3 linked regions of the Cricetulus griseus genome follow. The protein of the gene in region 1 interacts with the protein of each later gene in a pairwise test. Links are inferred from orthologs where the notes say so. Each region holds a gene or a part of one and is shown on either strand. Other genes may lie near its edges.

What was found. The genes of interacting proteins can lie anywhere in the genome.
Region 2: the proteins of Trim41 (region 1) and Chd2 interact in binary tests that used the Homo sapiens proteins (3 or more experiments, as listed by UniProt). The two-hybrid records come from large-scale screens. The link is inferred for Cricetulus griseus from reciprocal best matches to the Homo sapiens genes TRIM41 and CHD2.
Region 3: the proteins of Trim41 (region 1) and Top3b interact in binary tests that used the Homo sapiens proteins (3 or more experiments, as listed by UniProt). The two-hybrid records come from large-scale screens. The link is inferred for Cricetulus griseus from reciprocal best matches to the Homo sapiens genes TRIM41 and TOP3B.

Annotation. Positions count from the first base shown.
Region 1 is NC_048600.1:63,472,683-63,476,856, forward strand, and holds the start of Trim41 (E3 ubiquitin-protein ligase TRIM41), read right to left. Parts: upstream 2,801-4,174; 5' UTR 2,492-2,800; coding exon 1,685-2,491; intron 1-1,684.
Region 2 is NC_048596.1:123,752,345-123,756,577, reverse strand, and holds the start of Chd2 (chromodomain-helicase-DNA-binding protein 2), read right to left. Parts: upstream 2,801-4,233; 5' UTR 2,731-2,800; coding exon of another isoform or gene 2,669-2,730; intron 1,826-2,668; 5' UTR 1-1,825. UniProt on the Homo sapiens protein: ATP-dependent chromatin-remodeling factor that specifically binds to the promoter of target genes, leading to chromatin remodeling, possibly by promoting deposition of histone H3.3.
Region 3 is NC_048597.1:72,462,187-72,466,232, forward strand, and holds the start of Top3b (DNA topoisomerase 3-beta-1), read right to left. Parts: upstream 2,801-4,046; 5' UTR 2,687-2,800; intron 2,615-2,686; exon of another isoform or gene 2,455-2,614; intron 1-2,454. UniProt on the Homo sapiens protein: Releases the supercoiling and torsional tension of DNA introduced during the DNA replication and transcription by transiently cleaving and rejoining one strand of the DNA duplex.

The DNA.
Region 1 (4,174 bases):
TCCAGGATATCCAGGTCTATTACACAGAGAAACCCTGTCCAGGAAAAAACAAACAAACAAACAAACAAACAAGAAACAAAAAGGGTTTCTTGCCCTCAGGTCTCATGTATCTTGAGCTAGCCTCTATCTTGCTACATCAAGGATGACCTTGAACTGTTCTTCCTGCCTCTATTTCCCCAAGTGTTGGGATAAAAAGCTTGCACTATCATGCCCATTTTAGGATGACTATTCTATAGATACTCTAATTCAGAACTTCTGCAGTAAGGCCCACTGTACTTTTGACATCTCCTCAAATAACTGACAATCAGCTGTGAAGCCTTAGACTCTAAAGTTGAGGAGGTGATGATCACCTAAATGAAGTTACTGACTGAATTAGGAGGAGGCATAGAAACATTAGTCACAAACAAAGCTCTGGGCAGCCATACAGAGGAGGCTACCCTCTCCTCCTGATTCTATGGCTTCAAATCTGAAGATAGTTCTATCTGTGCTGGCTGCTTCACAGACACATGTCCTTTACATATGTCCAAAGAATTAGAGAAATAAAGAACAAGCCAGTTAACCAAACAAGAATTAGATTCCTAGAACAGTCACATCAGAAAAGTCAAACTAGGCCAGGCGTTGGTGGCGGATGCCTTTAATCCCAGCACTTGGGAAGCAGAGGCAGAGGCAGGCAGATCTCTGTGAGTTCAAGGCCAGCCTGGTCTACTGAGTGAGTTCCAGGAGAGGCTCCAAAGCTACACAGAGAAACCCTGTCTCGAGAAAAAAAAAAAAAAAAAAGTCAAACTAAAATATCCAAGTAGTGTTACCTAGGAGCCCCAAGAGGAAGATGTTCATATCCAAGTCTATCACTTATTAAAGCTGTATATACATAAACATCCATGTTCAGAATTTAACCCTGTTTCCCAATCAATAAAATGAGAATGGCAAACATCAAACTCACATGGTGACTTTGAATTATGAATGATAATCCACAAAAAGTGACCTGCACAGTACTGACTATATGTGAAGTGCCCTATAAATATTAACTCCTGTAATAATTAAAGTTCAAAGTGAAGCCGGGTAGGCACACCTTTAATCCCAGCACTCCAGAGGCACAGGCAGGCAGATTCCTGTGAGTTCAAGGCCAGCCTGGTCTACTACTGAGTGAGTGCCAGGATAGGCTCCAAAGCTACACAGAGAAATCCTGTCTCAAAAAAATAACAAAAACAAAAAAAAAGTTTAAAGACACAAGATTTTTACCCTAAAACCCTCCTTTCTGGTTAATACATGAGACTGGGTGCTGAGCCAACCAGCAAATCTGTATCATAGGATGGGTGTGGAACCCGTTAGGAAACAAGTGCAGAGTATTTGGGTCTGACACTAGTTATTTCTATGCTCCTGTTTCAGACTCCCTTGTTCTTTTTGGTCCCATTTCTTTCCATCTGGAAGTGACTCTGTCATGGATAAGACTTAAGATCCATCCAGAAGGATGAATGCACTCTCTGTCACTTGCACTCCTATCCTTAAGCCACAGAGGAAGTCTCAGGATCCTTGTAATTTATCGACCTTGGAAGTCAGTGCTTGGACAGGGAGAATCATTTCTGCAGGACATGAGGTCCTGTAAGAGAACCCACATTCCCTTTGCCCGATGTCCTCTATTTCCTCCCTACCCTTACTAAACTCTTGCCTTGCTTAGTTCACTCACCTTGTACTCCTGCACCACCTCTTCCAATGGCACCACACTATGCTGTTTGTGGCTCCTGGATTCTCGGCACACCACACAGATGGCTTCTTCATCCACCTCACAGAACAATTTCAGGGCTTCTTGGTGTCTCGGACAGATGCCTTGTTCATTCACACGACTCCCTCGACCAGGGGTTGGATGCATCTGACGAATCACCTGGACCATGTTGGCCAACTGCAGGTTGGGGCGGAAGCTCCGCCGAGGAAAACTTTTTCGGCACTGGGGACAAGTGAAGCACCTCCGAGGGGCTGGAGGTGGCGGCAGTTGGGTGATCGGATCTAGCTCCTCTTCCTCATCTTCCTCCAGCACTTCCTCCTCCTCGTCCTCATCTTCCCCCCTCAGGTCCTCCACATCTCCCAAGTAATAGTCCAGATCTTCCTCCTCCTCCTCTTCCTCCCACACATAGTCCATGTTGTCCCAGTTGGACCCGCCTATACCACTACTCCAGAACACACCCTCCTCTTCCTCCTCGGCCTCCTCCTCCATGTCACCCTCATAATCTTCATCCCGCATGGGGGTGTCCCAACCCCCGCCTGCTCCGACAGCCTCCACTTCTTCCTCCTCTCCGACCTCCTCCTCCTCCTCCCGATCCAACTCATCCCTGTCCTCCTCATCCTCCCCGCCCCACAACTGGGTTACACACACTCGGCAGAAGTTGTGCCCGCAGCCGATGGACACGGGGTCCGTGAAGTAATCGAGGCAGATGGCGCACACCGCCTCCTCCTGAAGGGTCTGCACAGGGTTGGGTGTCATGGCAACGGCAGCCATCTTAGTGTCCAGTCAGCCAGTGTAGAAGTGTGGTGGGGGCCGAGGGGGGGCGGGGGGGTCTTCCTTCTCAGAAGCCCAGGAGACCCGTCCCCACCCCAAGCCCTGCTTCCCCACACCTTGCCTGCGGCGAGGCCGGAGGAATGTCCTCCCGACCAGCCCACCGCTGCACACACAGTCCCCTACCCCTAGACGACAATCGCGTCTCAGAGAGGGGAGGGGACTGAGGTGAGCACCACCGACAAGTATCTCAGGTGGACCTGAGTGCAAATCTGCCCCAACGCTCCCCCGGCCTCCTCATAAACCCCCGCCCCTCCTCACTTCCTGGCCCCGCCCCCCAGCTTCCGGCCTCCCTCCCGACGCTTCCGGCGTCTCCACACGACCTAAACTCACGAGTTCCCTCCGAGGTTGTGCTACGCCCCCCTTCTCCCACGCCCCGCCCCGGACTCCAGGGCAACCGGAAACGAGGAGGAGACGCTCTAGCGGACACGCGGGAACAGGGCGGGAGGGCTAGGACGGCGGAGGTCCGCATCTCTGTGATGACTGGCGGCGGGGAACGCGTACAAAGCGGAAGAAGCCCCCATGCCCCGCCAGCGGGGACAGATGGCGGAGGGCAGCGAGGACGTGGAGCAGCACCCTGCTCTCCGTGCTACAACCGCAGCGGCCTAGCGCCATCCTACCGACCAGGCACGGACGCCTGCAGAAGGCACTCCCAATAGCAGTGCCGGAAGCTGAGGGGCGGGCCCGCTCAGCGTCCTCAAACACTTCCGGCCCCTGTAGCCCTAGAACTTGCTGGAGACTCGATAGATCCCTGCAAGTGGGGGTCGTGGGCGGAGTCTGACGAGATAGCTGGGACTGGAGTTCGGGAGGCGCCACCCTCTGCGGGGCATTCCCACGCCCGTTTCAGCAGCTGCAATCTTGCGGGCACTCCTGTATGCCTCCCACACTTGGGAGGGAGAGGCAGGAGGACCGCGGCAAGTTACAGCCTTGTCTAATCTGGGCTACAAAGTCAGACCCTGTCCCAGGAAGTAACCACCAACCAACCAGAGCAAGCAAACAAACAAACAAACAAAAAAACACTGTCATCTGGCCACTGGCCTATCATTTATTATTAATAGCTACATTCACATTAAATGGAACACTGTCCAGATATGTGAACAAGAGTCTTCCCGGATGTGTTATGCTTAAAAAGCGCAGATTGCTGGACACTCTGGAGTATACAAGGTTAAGTGTATTTGGTGCTTTGTATGGCTGTGACTACTCCTTTAAAGTAGACCATAGGTCGTCGCCTCGGGGTTTTGTGAGGATGTCACGTAAAGCGATCAGAGGGTTTCCTAGCACCTGGTCCGACTGCTCAGGGTTAGCTAGCTACTCTACCATATCCGCGTCTGTGGAGGAAGACAGAATTTCTCTAGGAAAGATGACCGGGTAGGAAAGACGCTTTTCCTAACATGTAGTTCTTTTTATATCCTTTGAGTTTTGAAACAAGTCCATATGTTCTCTTTAAAAATAAATAAATAAATATATATATATATATATATATATATATATATTTCCCCCTTGCTATGGAGTCATTCAAATTTTACTACTTCTTAATGGCCGTGCACACTTTCAATGATTTGCAGTCCTTAATGTTTTTGAGATTTGTATTCGTTGAATTCCAGTGTAAAAGGAAGGAGTGTCTCG
Region 2 (4,233 bases), on another chromosome or scaffold:
CGCCAGCTACCGAGCTGCCCCTTAATTCATCACCAGAGTACCAATGGGAACGTGGGGAAAGGGATATTCTGATATTCAGGACTTCGATTCATTTTTCAGCCTTCTTAAAAATCCGATTTTTAAAAGTATTATCAGCGTCATAAAATGGCTGCCACTTAAAACTGCTTATTCCAGTCCACAAGCACTGCAAATGCCGTTTCTAATCATCCCCAGCCTTACAAGGCTAAGGGCTCCTGAAAACGTGAAAATTGTACTCACACCTCCGGATATCAAAATATGGCTCAAAGGCAAACGACTTTGGATATAGATTTAATTTTGAGTTTATAAATGCCGTGTCTTAGAACACAGAAGTGTGTTCACACGGTTCCATGTGCATTTTCTTCCCCCCTAGTTAACACTCGTGGATATAACTTAGGTAAGTATGTGGCATACTTTGTGTCCATCACTAAAACCGTTGTGTTTAGAAATTAGAAATGTAAATTGTTTAAAATTACATTCGAAAAAGTAATTTTTAATCTCCAAAAATCATGATATACAAAGCAAATTAGAATTCAGCATTAACTACAAAAGAATACAAGAATACACTTAATCAGTAGTAAGTTATAGCACTTGTTTTCAAAACAGGGGGAAAAACTTTACTTAAAACTTGTTCTCAAGTGATTCTCATTCTGAAGTTTACTTAACCTGAAGGCAATTCCTTTCCTCCCCTGCAGAATCAGGGTGCAAAAGGTGATTTCAGTGATGTTCCCTGAACACTGTACTTCAAAACTTTAGCCTCCCTTTAGGCAACCTACTGATATCACAGGAACCAGGTAAACAGAGGCAATTCAATTTCAGTTCACCAGAAATAGCCTACTGTACCAAAACAACACAAACATTCTTTAAGCTTTACAATCTTTAAAGGAAGTGATGTCATAACTATGTACATGCATTAATAATGTATATAACTTAAAAGTAACAGTAATTTAAAAGTAACTCCCTCTTTCAGGATTCTAGAATATTTGAACATCCATCAAGTATATGATTTTAAAGTATAATTGGCAAAAGCATTAAAAACATGCTTCTTATTGACAAAAGAAATCAAATGCATGACAATGCCGCAGTCATATCCCAGATAAAAGTAAAAGTTTATTCAAAGGCAGCACTTTGAGATGAGTTAGAGAGCATCGTCTGATCAATGAAACCAGAAACCTGCTTAAGAAAGCCAAAACCCTGGTGAGAATATGCAAATCATATACTCAAGGGAGTAACAACTTTAATACTGGGTCTTTCATAATTGTCAAATATATCTGGAGCTTCCTATACCTTCAAATTATTACTTTCCAGAAAGCTAGTTTTGCATTACAAGTGTTTTTTGTTCTACATATAACTCAATAATTACACAGGCAACTCAAAAGATCCAAAATTGTAACAACTCAATTTGCAAAGGAACTCGAAAATGTGCTTTTAAAAGATTCAAAACTATTTTTAGTCAAAAGCAAAATTCATCATTTGTAATAAAGCATACTCAAAATTTACAAGCTTAATTTAGAAAAAGAATTTTATGCAAAGTTATAAAATAAAATCAAAATTGGGAAAAGATCACATAACCAATCACATCCTTGTTAGCTGCATGATTTAAAAATTATGACATGACAATTCTTAACAGATTCAGAAATGCATGCACATTTTTTAAATAAAGATAAAGATACAGTCATACAACCAAAATATCTTATAGGCTTTATTACTTCAGTCACTGATAAACTACTTCAAGGAATGTGAAACAAATCATTATTTGAACAAACAGTACATTAAAGCTTCAGAAGAGAAAGCATTCCAGATGACTCTGTCAAAATAAATGGATAAATTTAAAGCAGCATCAACTAAAATGTAAAGATAAAATACAATTACCAACCAGAAAGCACTGTCTTAACATAAATACACAAGCATAAACCTTGTAACATTTTAAACAAAATCTGAAATTATATTGTCATAGTAATAATCACAAAGCAAGTGTTAATAGCATTCCAGGATTTTTGCGGTGACAGATTTAATGATTTCAGGAACTTTAAGTAAGGTTTTGTTAAGTCATAAAAATTTTCAAATTTGTGAAGTGTATCAAAAGAAACAATCAAAAATATAAAATGAAAGGCATCAGTCAAAGGGTCCCATTTGTGATTCTGTTTTTAAATGTACATTTTCTCATTCATATAACTTTCTCAAATGTCTATTTACTATAATTTACTACCACAAGGCTCCTCTATGGCCCTCAGTTACAAGTTTGAATATCCCAGATTATTCAAAGAAAAAAATTTGCCTTGTATGTAAAATGGTGCAATGCAGCAATGGCTAAACAGACAAGGTCATTTTTCTGCAGCATGAAAACCTAAAACCTAAAAATTTACTGACAGAAAAACTACAGTTTCTAGGAAAGGCCCCTCCGTACAAAAGTACCTTACCTTCAGAATGCTTTAAGAGGCCTTAAGTCACAACTCAACTTTCATAAATAGCTACCAAAAAATCAGGGTGTGGCATGTTAGCAATCTCAAGGTCACGCTTTAAAAAAAAATCAACCCAAGTTAGAAAATTCTTTCAACACAGACAGCAATCTATGTCTGTCAAAGTAAACAAGTGTAAGCTGAGGTTTCCCCAAAAAAAAAAAAAAAAAAAGTAAGTTGATAGCTCATACCTCGATGCATTGCTGTGTAGCGAACTGTCCTCCTCTTGGCTTTTGTCCTTATTTCTCATCATCTTTTAATTCTTAAATATAAGGGGGAGGGGGAATCTGTGTTTGCTTTGAAGTCCTGTGCCCAGGTATTTACTGTCAAAAGTTGAAAGAAAGGTAAGGTCCCAGCTTCTATGGATGGTTCTTACTATCAGGAACAAAGTCCTGACGATGTTAGCGATATTCATGTAATGCAACAACGGTAAGCACCAAAAAAACAAAAATATTTCTATTTTTTCTTTTTAAAATAAGTGGGGGATAAGCTGAACTGTAGAAGCATCACTATCAATAAGGAAAGTTTCTCAAAGTAACACACTGGATACAAATAACAATCTCTGTATCTTATTGCGTCATCCAGGAATTTCTCATATTTACAATAAATAAAGCCAACTTCAACATAAAAATCTTTCAAATTATCACTAATTATTATGGACTTACCTGATCCATGCAGTATGTCCAAAGCAAGAGTCCTATCTAGTAGTAGAAAAATGCCAGATCCAAAATAATTAAAAATAACGAAAAATCCTCCGTTAAAAAACAAAAAGTAAATGAAATAGTCCTCAAATGTGTTGGCTTGTCAAAAAATAAAGCAATAATTAATACTAAAACAGGTCCGGAAGGGGAAAAAAAAAGCCTCATTAGGAGAGCGCACAAAAATGGAGGTGCGCCATGGCTTCTAAGCTGGAAAAAACAACGACCTGGGCTCTCAATACGGCAGCTTCTTCCAACAAGGCACGAAAAAAAAGCTCCTAAAAGCTGCTTTTCTTCCAAAAAAAGATTCGAATCGACCCCAGTAAGTCACTAGAAGAGGCAGGGGGCTGCGGGGGCCCCCTGAGGCTGCCCGAAAGTTAGGGAAAGTTGCGTAAAGTGAACCGAAGCAGGGAGCAAAGCGCGCTCTCTCTAAGGCACAGCCGCCATCTAGAGCCTCCTTCCCAGCTCTGAGAGCTCTGCCTTTGATTGACACTCTCTACATTTACCCCACAACTCAGGTGATGTACCATAGACCCACCCCTTCATCTCCACCAAAAAAAAAAAGAAAGAAAAAACTAGATCCTCCATCCAAGGGAGCCTTAAGACCCCCAACCCCACACCTCCCTGCCCCTCCAGACCACTCCATAAGGGGGAGGGGGAAGGGCTTCTTAACCCCCTCTGGCTCAAGCACCCTTTTTAAGCCAGAGAGAAATGTAATTTGTTCCTTTTGTTTAAAGATCTGCTAAATATTTCAGTCCTTGAGCTAAAATAACTTCCTCCCTGGACAGGAAGTTGTGTTTTATCAAGCCATTTTGAAATAAGGATAATTTGTAGAGAATCTAAAGCTCATCTTAAGTACAAATCTTTAAAAAAAAATTAACACCCCCATGGGTAAAATGGCTTGCAAATAGAAGCAACATCAACACCATGAATTAAGCTCAACTCTTGCCTTCTTTGTGGTCCCTAAAAACCATCTAAAGATGGTTTAAACAGGGGGAATTTTCCACCCCAACTAAGAAGGAAGGGGTAATTTTCTTACAACTCAAGAGCGCCACCCT
Region 3 (4,046 bases), on another chromosome or scaffold:
CCAGACTCTTGCATAGAGCTGTACTCAGCCTCAGAGCTCTTCTAACTCTGTCTTACCTGAGTCAAGCCTTCTTCTCATATACATAGCCCTTGGCCAGGCATCTGTCTTAACTAACCCACATTACACTGTACTATGGCCAGTGATTCCTTGCAAAAGGACATGCAAACTTCACATCTGGACCATTGCTGGCCCTTGCTGTAGCTTTCTGGGCAGGATGTATCACTTGAAACCTGCTGTCAGAGCAGGAAAAAAGATGACAATAAACACAAAAACCCTACCAAATGAAAACCACACTAACCAAACCAACCAAAATAAAATGGTGTGTGTGTGTGTGTGTGTGTGAGATACAGATTCCTTCTTTAAAAATTGCTTTTGTTATGTGCATGGGATGTTGTGCCTGTATGTGTGTTTGTGTGTCATACGCGTTGCAGGGTCTGTGGAGGCCAGAGAGGCTGCTGATTCCCTGGGATTGGAGTTACAGATGGTTGTCAGCTACCACATGGCTCCTCTGCCAACAGCTAAGTCATCTCTCCAGCCTGTCCTTTTCTCTGTTGTGCTGAGGGTTAAGCCCAGGGTTTCATGCATGTTAGGCAAGTACCCTACCATGAATCATACTTCTAGTTTCCCTTTCTTTTTTGATCAACAGACATTCAGCATTATTATTATTGTTGTTGCTGTTGGTTTTTCAAGAGAGGGTTTCTCTGTAGCTTTGGAGCCTTTCCTGGAGCTCACTCTGTAGACCAGGCTGGCCTCGAACTTATAGATCCACCTGCCTCTGCCTCCTGAGTGCGCCACCATCACCTAGTCAGCATTATTATTTTGAGATAGTTTCACTTTGTATTCCAGGTTGGCCTTGAGTGGCAATCCTCCTGACTCAGTCTCCCAAAGTGCCAGGGTTATAGGCCTGGGCCACCACCATGTCCTCCAGCATTATTTATAAACACAGACTTGTATGCATTTAAAACCCCAAAGATTTTTTTTTTCAGACAACTAGAGAAAAAAATGATGTAAGACATGTACTCCATAACTTGAGATGGCTTGGTGAGTAAAGTGCTTGCTGTGCAGGCATTTGGATACAACTTTGATCCCTAGAACCCATATAAAAGCTAGACCTGGTGGTATGGGTTTAGAATTCCAGCGCTTGGAAAGTGCGGACAGGCTGATCACCGTGCTCACTGCCTGGCTAATCTAGTAGAAACAACCATCTCTCCAGCAAAATTCTAATTTTCCTTAAAAGTTCCTAAAAATAAGAAAACAGTCCACTTGTCCGAAATTGTGAGCAAAACATATGAGCAGGTATAAGTAAACAGAAAAAAAGAAACGTTTTTTATGTTTGCAGGTATGCTGCCCTTGCAGGCAGAGGTCAGGGGTTTCTTTTCTTGCTCTCCACCTAATTTTTGAGACAGACTCTCTCGGTCAACCTGAAACTAAGATTTTTCTACAGGATCATGTAAATATATAAAGTAGACTCTGTAACATAAACCTACATGATACACCAAGTTTGATCTTGTTTGCCAAGGCTCTGAGACTACAGTTTGCCCTCTTCTGAAGTTAGGTAAGCAAATGCTATTTAGGTGTTGACTGTAAGAGAGAATAGCAAGACAGTCTGTTTATAACTTGCTAAATCTCACTGGCAAATGCCACCATCACTGTGTCCTTTGGGAGACATTGTCAATCTGGGCATTTCCTTTTGCGTGTCTTATGAAGTAGTAGATTTAACTTGAAGAGGAGGCCTGAAAGGGGTCAGCAAAGCATCCAGAGTCTCCAGTGATTCTTAAGCATCTACAGACCCAGGAAAACACGCCTACCTCTTAAGCCCCTTCTCTGTATCGAGTATGGCACAGCTCTATCTGCCAACATCTGTATAAAATAGGAGTTAAATTTAAAATTTCAAAAAAACATTTATTTTATGTGTGTGTACATGCATGGGTGCACACATGCTGCAGGTCACAAGTAGAGGTCAGAGGACAACTTGTGGGATTCAGCTTTTTTTTTTTTTTTTTTTTTTCACCACGTGGGTTCCAGGGATTGAAACCGGGCTGTCAAGCTCAGTGGCAAGAGCGCTGAGCCATCTCACTAGCTGAAGTTTTAAAAGCCAGGGTAAATTGCAGTTTATAAAAATTCAGACTAGTGACAAGGAACCTTGGCAAACTTTTTCCCCCCCCCTCTCCAGCTATCAAACGTTGACTGTTCAGGCTTCTCACGTCCTGTTCTCAAAGGCGTGAGTGACAAACAGGTTAAGAGAGATCACCGTCTTCCCTTTCACCCAGGCATAAGTTGCTGGCCCTCGATTCTAGTTCACGGGTTCACCCAAGTTTTCTCCAAGACGGCCGCGGTCTCCAGAAGGAGCAAGCTACGGGAGGCAAGCGAGTGGAACCCTCGGCTGAGAACGCGGAGTGCGGGCCTCTGCGGGCAGCCTGTTTCCCTACCCGTGAGTCGGGGCAAACACCTCACCTCGGGGCCGCGGGGAGCTCGGTGGAGAAGCCACAGTCGCCCACTGAGCGCCGGTCCACCAGCGCCCAGGAGCCCCACCGCGAAGGCGGGGCGGCGCGGCCACAAAGCGGCGCCAGGCAGGGACCCTCCCCCGCACCCCCCGCCCGGGTCTGCGCTCCGCTTTTATTCCGGAAATGCCCGAGGAAAGCCAGCGTCTTCCGCTTCCTCGCGCAGCCAGCAGCCCACCGCTCACCCGCTGTGCCGCCGCGGCTCTCGCTCCGGCCGGGCTCTCCCGGTGGCCACTAGTGAACCCACTTCCGGCTCTGTCCGCTTGTGGCGTCCCCTCATCTGCTCTCCGATGTCGACACTTCGGTGTCTGCGAGTTCCGAGGCTGGTGAGTTCCGGGTGCCCAGCCGTCTGCAGTCTGGTTTGGTGCAGCTGGGGTTCCCCAAGCCTCCACTATGTCCCTCCTTCCTGCATCCTGCATTTTGGAGGGGGGAATCATTATGATTATGAAAACAGATGCTATTAATAATTAAAATAATTTTTAAAATTACAGACAGACTTCTTTCAGAGTTAGAAACATTTGAGAGTCAAGGATGGTAACTCACACCAGAAATCCAGCAATCAGGAGGCTGAAGCGGAGAATTAGAGGCCAGTCACAGCTACACAGTGAGTTTCATTCCAGCCTGGACTACAGGGTATACAAACCAAACCAAACACCATCTAAAATTTTGTAGATGGTACTATTTGTGTTAATATATTTGGAAGATGATGTATAAAATGTTTTTTAGAGCATTAGGATCACAGAAGTTTTAAAATAGTTTTCATGACTCTATTAGCATATCATTTTTAATAGACCAGTGTAGTGACACATAACCTTTAATCCCAGAATTTGAGAGGCAGAGGTAGGCAGGTTTCTGTGAGTTCAAGGCCAGCCTTGAGAAACTCTGTCTCAAAAAACAAAAAGCAAATAACAACAACAGAAATCCTCCTGGTTTTAAACCATCACTCTATTACCAAGATTGCGCCCTGACTGAAAGGTTCAGACTTTCATACTGATCGGCAATATCTCTTTAAGGACAGACCCTACCCCCTGACAACAGTCAGGGCACACAGAGGAAAATGTGCTGTTATCATCACCATGTCACCCGACACGCATTAGGCCTGCTGAGGACTCTGGGCATGCGTGGAACCTCAGTCTTCCCCAACTTCCCTGCTGCTCAACCTCTTTACTCTCTTTTACTCTCTCTCTTTGCTCACTTCTGCTTTGCTCTCTCTTCCCCCACCTACACACTCTCTCTGCCTCTCTATGGTGACCGGCCATGGTGGGCAGCCATTACCCCTGTTTCTCTTCTCTCTTTAGTCTCCATACTCTGCCGGGCCGTATAATAAACTAGTTAACATGTCATCATCCGCCTCTTTTCCTCTTTTTCTTCAAAAAACATAACGCTGACAGTCCCAAAAAACTAGCTAGGGTTGGGTACCCATTCTCAATATATCAGTTAAAGAGACAACTAAGATGGCTGCAAGATGGCTCAGTGTGTGAAGACGCTGGCTGCCATGCTGGCCATGTGCACATGAAATAACAATAAATATATAAGTAATAATAA